Linked DNA regions of Saccharomyces cerevisiae S288C. The main gene of each other region encodes a partner of the protein of the gene in region 2 in a complex. Each region holds a gene or a part of one and is shown on either strand. Other genes may lie near its edges. The genes, in order: NTH1 and BMH1. A codon is read from its position in the direction of its gene.

What was found.
Region 1: the proteins of BMH1 (region 2) and NTH1 are in contact, whole or in part, in a crystal structure (PDB 5N6N), measured with the Saccharomyces cerevisiae proteins. Residues at the interface, in NP_011104.3 of Saccharomyces cerevisiae: Gln17 (codon at 2,187), Glu19 (codon at 2,193), Asn44 (codon at 2,268), Val48 (codon at 2,280), Lys51 (codon at 2,289), Arg58 (codon at 2,310), Arg62 (codon at 2,322), Ile63 (codon at 2,325), Ser66 (codon at 2,334), Ile67 (codon at 2,337), Lys70 (codon at 2,346), Lys125 (codon at 2,511), Arg132 (codon at 2,532), Tyr133 (codon at 2,535), Gly174 (codon at 2,658), Leu177 (codon at 2,667), Asn178 (codon at 2,670), Val181 (codon at 2,679), Phe201 (codon at 2,739), Ile205 (codon at 2,751), Ala206 (codon at 2,754), Leu208 (codon at 2,760), Asp209 (codon at 2,763), Leu211 (codon at 2,769), Ser212 (codon at 2,772), Glu213 (codon at 2,775), Glu214 (codon at 2,778), Tyr216 (codon at 2,784), Lys217 (codon at 2,787), Asp218 (codon at 2,790); in NP_010284.1 of Saccharomyces cerevisiae: Phe73 (codon at 2,647), Gly74 (codon at 2,644), Lys75 (codon at 2,641), Leu76 (codon at 2,638), Thr79 (codon at 2,629), Arg80 (codon at 2,626), Arg81 (codon at 2,623), Gly82 (codon at 2,620), Ser83 (codon at 2,617), Glu84 (codon at 2,614), Asp85 (codon at 2,611), Thr87 (codon at 2,605), Tyr88 (codon at 2,602), Ser89 (codon at 2,599), Ser90 (codon at 2,596), Ser91 (codon at 2,593), Gln92 (codon at 2,590), Thr135 (codon at 2,461), Asn137 (codon at 2,455), Ser138 (codon at 2,452), Lys142 (codon at 2,440), Arg147 (codon at 2,425), Gly148 (codon at 2,422), Tyr150 (codon at 2,416), Met151 (codon at 2,413), Asn178 (codon at 2,332), Glu179 (codon at 2,329), Asn180 (codon at 2,326), Val666 (codon at 868), Asp667 (codon at 865).

The regions. Positions count from the first base shown.
Region 1 is NC_001136.10:449,613-454,421, forward strand, and holds NTH1 (alpha,alpha-trehalase NTH1), read right to left. Parts: upstream 2,864-4,809; coding exon 608-2,863; downstream 1-607. Other genes in the region: Ran GTPase-binding protein YRB1, read left to right, coding at 3,433-4,038; RCR2 (Rcr2p), read left to right, coding at 4,510-4,809. UniProt on the Saccharomyces cerevisiae protein: Hydrolyzes intracellular trehalose to glucose. The disaccharide trehalose serves as a storage carbohydrate that is mobilized during nutrient stress. Regulates the level of trehalose as a protectant for cell integrity during heat stress.
Region 2 is NC_001137.3:543,473-546,914, forward strand, and holds BMH1 (14-3-3 family protein BMH1), read left to right. Parts: upstream 1-2,138; coding exon 2,139-2,942; downstream 2,943-3,442. Other genes in the region: ECM32 (RNA helicase), read left to right, coding at 1-1,583; PDA1 (pyruvate dehydrogenase (acetyl-transferring) subunit E1 alpha), read left to right, coding at 3,345-3,442. UniProt on the Saccharomyces cerevisiae protein: Involved in growth regulation.

The DNA.
Region 1 (4,809 bases), on a different chromosome or scaffold from region 2:
CTTTGTAAAAGTTCACATTAGCATACATATATTACACGAGCCAGAAATAGTAACTTTTGCCTAAATCACAAATTGCAAAATTTAATTGCTTGCAAAAGGTCACATGCTTATAATCAACTTTTTTAAAAATTTAAAATACTTTTTTATTTTTTATTTTTAAACATAAATGAAATAATTTATTTATTGTTTATGATTACCGAAACATAAAACCTGCTCAAGAAAAAGAAACTGTTTTGTCCTTGGAAAAAAAGCACTACCTAGGAGCGGCCAAAATGCCGAGGCTTTCATAGCTTAAACTCTTTACAGAAAATAGGCATTATAGATCAGTTCGAGTTTTCTTATTCTTCCTTCCGGTTTTATCGTCACAGTTTTACAGTAAATAAGTATCACCTCTTAGAGTTAACCTATACTAAAATTTATGCCAGTTAACTATGAGATAAGCAAGTATCATCTCATTTCATTACCTGAAGTCGAGTAAACAGAAAATCCAATTGTTGATGAACCTCAATGACTTAGAACTATCTATCGGCAGATCATATAAAGAGGATTTAGGTACCTAGAGGACTGTACCTGGAGTATATATATATATATATATATATTATCTCAACTATAGTCCATAGAGGTTTCTTTCTTGAGGCCTTAAACTGCTAAAGAATGATATTGGTGGAATGCAAGCACCAAGCGCTCTTCTTGCGTGACTGTTCATATACTTCAAACCAAGAATGTAACTGGCATTGACCCATCCAAAACCTTCAGTAGCTGCCCCTTTAAAGTCAGCACCTTGATTACCGTATTCTGCTTCAACACGATGAGGATCTGTTCCTCTTGTGACATCATATTTTTCAACCACAATACCATTATAATCGACAAAAGCCTTTGTCATCATGAAAAGCCATCTATAAGCTAGCCTATTCGTTACAGTTAAATAACCATAAGAACGGAGGCCTTCCCAAGCAAGAATTTGATGGGGTGCCCAACCAAATGGATAGTCCCATTGTCTAATTGGTCTCGAAATAGAAATTGGGCCTCGAGAACGCTCCGTACATGCAGCTAAACCTCCAAGCATCTCTAACTTGGGTAGTGCTTTCTCCACCATTTTCTGTGCTTGCTCCTTCGTGGCAAGTCCAGCCCATAATGCCCAGAATGTAGTTGCGGATTCGTATGACGTTCTGTGCTTGATTTTTGTGTTGTAGTCAAAGAAAAACCCCGACTCGTCATCCCACATATATTTGGTAATCTTTTCTTGTCTGATTTTGGCCATTTCTTTCCACATAGCTGAAGTTGTTATAGAATGGTCTAAAGGATCTTCATATTTGTCGTCGCAGAATTCCTTTATGAAGTCTGCAATATCAATCTCGTATTTGTAAAGAAGAGAATTCAGGTCAATAGTGGCCAGGTAGGCACATACGCCCTCAAACCTATATGTAGTGTCGTGTCCAGATTCTCTAACGCCACGGTCATGAAGAAAAAACTCATCCAATTTAGGCTCCTTTATCTTACCATCGTTATAAAGTTGCTTAAATTCGTCTAAGGTAACGCCGTGTTTCGATGCATATGGTAGTAAAACGGTATCGAAGTGATCACTTTCAGTTTCCGGAGGAATACCGAGACCGTTAGGATGGTACCTGGATAAGCCTGTTTCGGGATCAAGCCTTGGAGATGCGGTCCAAACAGTTTTGTACTCTTTTATGCTTGCTTGGAAAGCTCTTTTCAACAAATCCACAGCATCGGGATTACTCCTACCACCAAGTTTTTTGAATACTACCAAGGCCATTTCAGTCAAGAATGGGGGCTGTGATCTACATAGATAGTAGCTTCTGTTAGCATTCAATATTTTTCCATAGTGATTAATCTCAAAAATAAAATGCTCCACCATACCTCTTGCAACATCAGTCTTGTTGGCTTCTAGGAGACCTAGTGCCATCATATAGGAGTCCCAACCATATAATTCATTGAATCTACCACCAGGAACAGCATAAGGGTAACCAATGAGAGTTTTTTCACCAGTAGAAGGATTGAAGTGCTCTTCCATAGCCAATGCTAGTAAACCGGGGGTATCATTGACGGATTTGACGTATTCTGCCGTTATTTTTTTTGGTAAATATTCAACTTCTAATTTCAAAGATGGATGCATTTGAGAAGCTTGAACATAAAATTCGTATTGTTCTGGACAATCATAAGGAACATAGATTCTTGGATTTTTTGCCCCCGGCGTATCAATCTTGGTATCTTTTGCAATTTCGCCTACGTTGTTCAGATCAACTCTCCTGGTCAAAGAGTTCCAGAACTGTGTGTTTATCAATCTTGATAATCTGTTGACGGGATTTTCGTTTATACGAGCTTCATCTAAGAAAATTTGGTGTCTACCAAAACTTTTCGCAATAGTTAGTTCCTGCAACAAATTGGATAACATATACGTACCCCTAATATTAATATGCTTATAGCCATAGGAGTTTGCGGTACCGACTTTCAAAACTTTTGGACCGGTATCCTCGATGGTGATCTGATAATTTTTATCGGTATCCTCAGCAGCCAGTAGTTCATTAAGTGTTTTATCGACATCTTCGATAAAGAAACGACGATTACCTTGACTACTTGAATAGGTGTCATCCTCAGAACCACGTCTAGTCTGTTGAAGTTTACCAAAACCAGTTTTCTTGAAAGGAGATACATTATCGAAAACACTCATAGTCCTCGTACGGTTGATCTTAGCGGGCTTTGCCTGCTTCTGCTTTCTTGGGTCTGTTGGGGGGCCATAGTAGACTTCTGCGTTCGAAAATGGATCATTGAATTCACTTAGTGATGATAATCTTCTTTGACGGCCTTGGGCTACCGGTCCTTGGCTTGTATTAACTTGACTCATTCTACTGATTTTTTTTGTTAATTTTTCTTTTTTTGTTTATCAGGCGTTCTTGTATCTAGTAATCTCCTTATATCTATGCAGTTGGTTGTGAAATCAGTCAATATAAAACTATCTTCTTGATATTATATTTACTCTACGGAAAACGATAGGGGGAAAATTTCTAGCTAATGTTTTGCGATCTTTTCAGGCCAACAAATCTTGTACCTCGCTCCTGAAAAATCCCGTAAATCGGTGATCGCGCAAGTTTCATATTGATAACCTTGTGAACCAGTCTATATATAGCCTTATATAAGTACTGCTCTATCAAACTTAAGATTGGTGGCCTTCTTCGGTAACTAGGGGATAAGGGGCTTCGTCCTACACGATGCTCCTGTCGTTTCTTTTTTTCATTTCTTTTTTCGCCCAGCGGGAAGTACGCGGAAAACAAGAAACAAAAAAAAAATAAAAAAATAAAAAATAAAACAGAAACTAAAATCTGATGATGAAATTGATATTCAATTGGAGAAAGAAGAAAGATCTTGTTTAATTTGAAATAAAAGCAAGAAGATAAACACAACTATAGAAAAAGAATGTCTAGCGAAGATAAGAAACCTGTCGTCGACAAGAAGGAAGAGGCTGCTCCAAAGCCACCATCCTCTGCTGTCTTCTCCATGTTTGGTGGTAAGAAGGCCGAAAAGCCAGAAACCAAGAAAGACGAAGAAGATACCAAGGAGGAAACCAAGAAGGAAGGTGATGATGCTCCAGAATCACCAGATATCCATTTTGAACCAGTGGTTCACCTGGAAAAGGTAGATGTTAAGACAATGGAAGAAGACGAAGAAGTTCTTTACAAGGTCAGAGCCAAGCTTTTCAGATTCGATGCCGATGCCAAGGAATGGAAAGAAAGAGGTACTGGTGACTGTAAGTTCTTGAAGAACAAAAAGACTAACAAGGTTAGAATATTGATGAGAAGAGACAAGACCTTAAAGATTTGTGCTAACCACATCATTGCTCCAGAATACACTTTGAAGCCTAACGTTGGTTCTGATAGATCTTGGGTGTATGCTTGTACAGCAGATATTGCAGAAGGTGAAGCAGAAGCCTTCACTTTTGCTATCAGATTTGGCAGTAAGGAAAATGCTGATAAATTTAAAGAAGAATTTGAAAAAGCTCAAGAAATCAACAAAAAGGCTTAGTTTCGATGTGCTTGTTACTTGCGTCTAGATTTTTTTGTTCCTAATGTAATTTTCCTTTACAGCGTGCATATATATTTTTATCTACTGTGAGGAAAAGTTGCTCTTTAATTATATAAAAAACGCTTATGTAGCATTGTGAAATCACATATGAATAGATATGTAAGAAGGATTAGAGGGTTCAAGTAATTGTTGCAGTAGTCAATGTAGCCAAATGTCTAACCACTTTGGTGCATGGAGATTAGCTCAATAATCTCGTAGTATGTTTCCGGGTAATATTCTCTGTCTTATTTACCATCTTTATGTTTCCGCCCTTTTATTTTTGTTTTTCTCGCTACTCCTTTATAATTACTAATGAGAATCGAATACTATAGAAATTTTTGACGTAATAAAGGAGCAGTAAATTTGGAATACATTCCTTAGCTCGCTAGAAAGCTGAAGGAAATTTAGCTAAACAGAGAGTATAGTTTTGAAATGATTTTACGGGAGCAGATCGACTTCCTAATACATAAAAGACAGGATGATAATAATAACAATGGTGAAGCGATTACAGATGATGATCCATTTAGCTCTTCCTCATGGAGATGGGGAAGATGGATTTTTTTTATTTTTTTCATAGTTGCACTCCTTATACTTCTGTTTTCAACTGCAAAAGTGAATAGGAGAAGAAGAATTATGGGTCAAGCTCCGATTAGGGGAACCGCTTGGTTAACCCCGCCTACCTACAGGCAGTCCGAGAGAGATTACAATGGCACACAGCGTTGCGTTGAAGAC
Region 2 (3,442 bases):
GTTCATCTCAATTTAAGCTATTGCCAACTTCTGCGCAGACAAGTAGAATTCTATTTGCCATGACGCGTATTACAAACCCAAAATTTATTGACCTATTACTAGGCCAAAAGCCTATTAAAGAGATTTATTTTGATAACAGGCTAAAATTTTCCAGTGACAAGTTGAACCGATCTCAGAAGACTGCAGTGGAACATGTTCTAAACAACAGTATCACAATTCTACAAGGCCCACCTGGTACAGGTAAAACATCAACAATAGAGGAGATAATCATCCAAGTAATTGAAAGATTTCACGCATTCCCAATATTGTGTGTTGCCGCGTCAAATATTGCTATTGATAACATTGCCGAGAAGATTATGGAGAATAGACCGCAGATAAAGATCTTAAGAATTTTGTCAAAGAAGAAAGAACAACAGTATAGTGATGACCACCCATTGGGCGAAATTTGTCTCCACAATATTGTATACAAAAATCTTTCCCCAGACATGCAAGTCGTGGCAAACAAAACCCGCAGGGGCGAAATGATCTCCAAATCAGAGGACACGAAGTTTTATAAAGAGAAAAACCGTGTCACCAACAAGGTCGTATCTCAATCGCAAATAATTTTCACGACAAACATTGCTGCAGGTGGTCGTGAATTGAAGGTTATAAAAGAATGTCCCGTGGTAATAATGGATGAGGCTACACAATCATCAGAGGCTTCAACACTAGTCCCACTTTCGTTACCAGGTATAAGAAATTTTGTCTTCGTTGGGGACGAAAAGCAATTGTCAAGTTTCAGCAACATCCCTCAACTGGAAACCTCACTATTCGAAAGAGTCCTATCTAATGGCACGTACAAAAACCCACTAATGCTGGATACGCAGTACAGAATGCACCCAAAAATTAGCGAATTCCCCATTAAGAAAATATACAATGGTGAATTGAAGGACGGTGTCACGGACGAACAAAAGGCATGGCCTGGCGTGCAGCATCCGTTGTTTTTTTATCAGTGCGATTTGGGGCCCGAGAGCAGAGTGAGAAGCACGCAAAGAGACATAGTCGGGTTTACGTACGAAAACAAACACGAATGTGTAGAAATCGTGAAGATTATCCAAATACTAATGTTGGACAAGAAGGTTCCGCTGGAAGAAATTGGTGTCATAACGCCCTATTCTGCACAGCGTGATCTGCTGTCTGACATCTTGACCAAAAACGTAGTTATCAACCCCAAACAGATTTCTATGCAACAAGAATACGATGAAATTGAGCTATTTAACGCGGCTGGTTCTCAAGGAACCGCCGGCAGTCTACAAAACAATGTGATTAACATCATCAACGGCCTACACGTCGCGACCGTAGACTCCTTTCAAGGCCACGAAAAATCTTTCATCATATTTTCATGTGTCAGAAATAACACCGAAAACAAAATCGGCTTTTTACGTGACAAAAGAAGGTTAAACGTGGCATTGACAAGAGCCAAGCACGGACTAATTGTGGTGGGCAACAAGAATGTCTTAAGAAAAGGAGACCCCCTATGGAAAGACTACATTACCTACCTCGAGGAACAAGAGGTCATATTCACTGATCTCACAGCTTACTAGCCGGCTAGGCGGCGGCAAGAAAATCCACTGTTTATGTATTGATTGCGCAATGCAGAGATAGATAGATATAGATAGATAATGGACGTAGTTATAGAACAGAAAATCGGTAGATCGAAAACACAGGGGAAAAAGGGGGGGGGGGGGGGGAGACAGCGCAGCCACGTGACGGGCTTCCTCTTTGGAAAGTGGAGCGAAGTTTTGCGGAAGCTACTTTATTCCGGCCTGGAGTCAAAAGAGGAAGCTCGGTGGCAAATAGCTTCCTCTTTGTGGCCGGGGCGCGGGGGGACGAGGCAAAAAGCAAAGAAAAGCAAAAAAAATAAAAAAAAAAACAAAAAAACAGGGGTATGAGAAAAAGACACGCTTTTCCACGCGCAGCAAAAAGGAAAAAGGAAAAGGAAACTCTTTATTATTGGACCTTAAACCTGAAAACGAGACGAACCGTAACATAAAACCGTGTAGTTTCTGCAAAAATAACTTAGTTTTTCCTACTTTTCAAAATTGAGAGCGCAAGCAAGTGAGAAGAAAAAGCAAGTTAAAGATAAACTAAAGATAAAAATGTCAACCAGTCGTGAAGATTCTGTGTACCTAGCCAAGTTGGCTGAACAGGCCGAACGTTATGAAGAAATGGTCGAAAACATGAAGACTGTTGCCTCCTCTGGCCAAGAGTTGTCGGTCGAAGAGCGTAATTTGTTGTCTGTTGCTTATAAGAACGTTATTGGTGCTCGTCGTGCCTCTTGGAGAATTGTTTCTTCTATTGAGCAAAAGGAGGAGTCCAAGGAGAAGTCCGAACACCAGGTCGAGTTGATTTGTTCGTACCGTTCGAAGATTGAGACCGAACTAACTAAGATCTCCGACGATATTTTGTCCGTGCTAGACTCCCACTTAATTCCATCAGCCACCACTGGCGAGTCCAAGGTTTTCTACTATAAGATGAAGGGTGACTACCACCGTTATTTGGCTGAATTTTCTAGTGGCGATGCTAGAGAAAAGGCCACAAACGCCTCTTTAGAAGCATACAAGACCGCTTCTGAAATTGCCACCACAGAGTTACCCCCAACTCACCCAATCCGTCTAGGTTTGGCTCTTAACTTCTCTGTCTTCTATTATGAAATTCAAAACTCTCCAGACAAAGCCTGCCATTTGGCCAAGCAAGCTTTTGACGACGCTATTGCTGAGTTGGACACTCTGTCTGAAGAATCATACAAAGATAGCACACTTATCATGCAACTGCTAAGGGACAATTTAACCTTATGGACTTCAGACATGTCCGAGTCCGGTCAAGCTGAAGACCAACAACAACAACAACAACATCAGCAACAGCAGCCACCTGCTGCCGCCGAAGGTGAAGCACCAAAGTAAGTATTCTGATAAATCTAAAGAGAAATTACTAAAAAAAAGAAAAAAAAAAGAACGGGGGTGTAATAATTTGTAGTTCATTATTGCAATTATATATCTATATCTATATATGTATATAACATTAACATGTGCATGTACACACGTAATCGCGCGTGTACATGTCTATATGTGTTACTTGAACTATACTGTTTTGACGTGTATGTTTATTTATCTCTCTTCTGATTCCTCCACCCCTTCCTTACTCAACCGGGTAAATGTCGCATCATGACTCCCGACAATAATCCCCTCTGGTATAGCGAGAAGCAACTTTAGCTTCTTAACGGCAAGAACTTTTTTATGTTTGTCGCACCTGTATCTTCACAAAAGTTGGATACAGCAATAAGAAAGGAAACCACATTTGTGCCAATGCTTGCTGCTTCATTCAAACGCCAACCATCACAATTGGTCCGCGGGTTAGGAGCTGTTCTTCGCACTCCCACCAGGATAGGTCATGTTCGTACCAT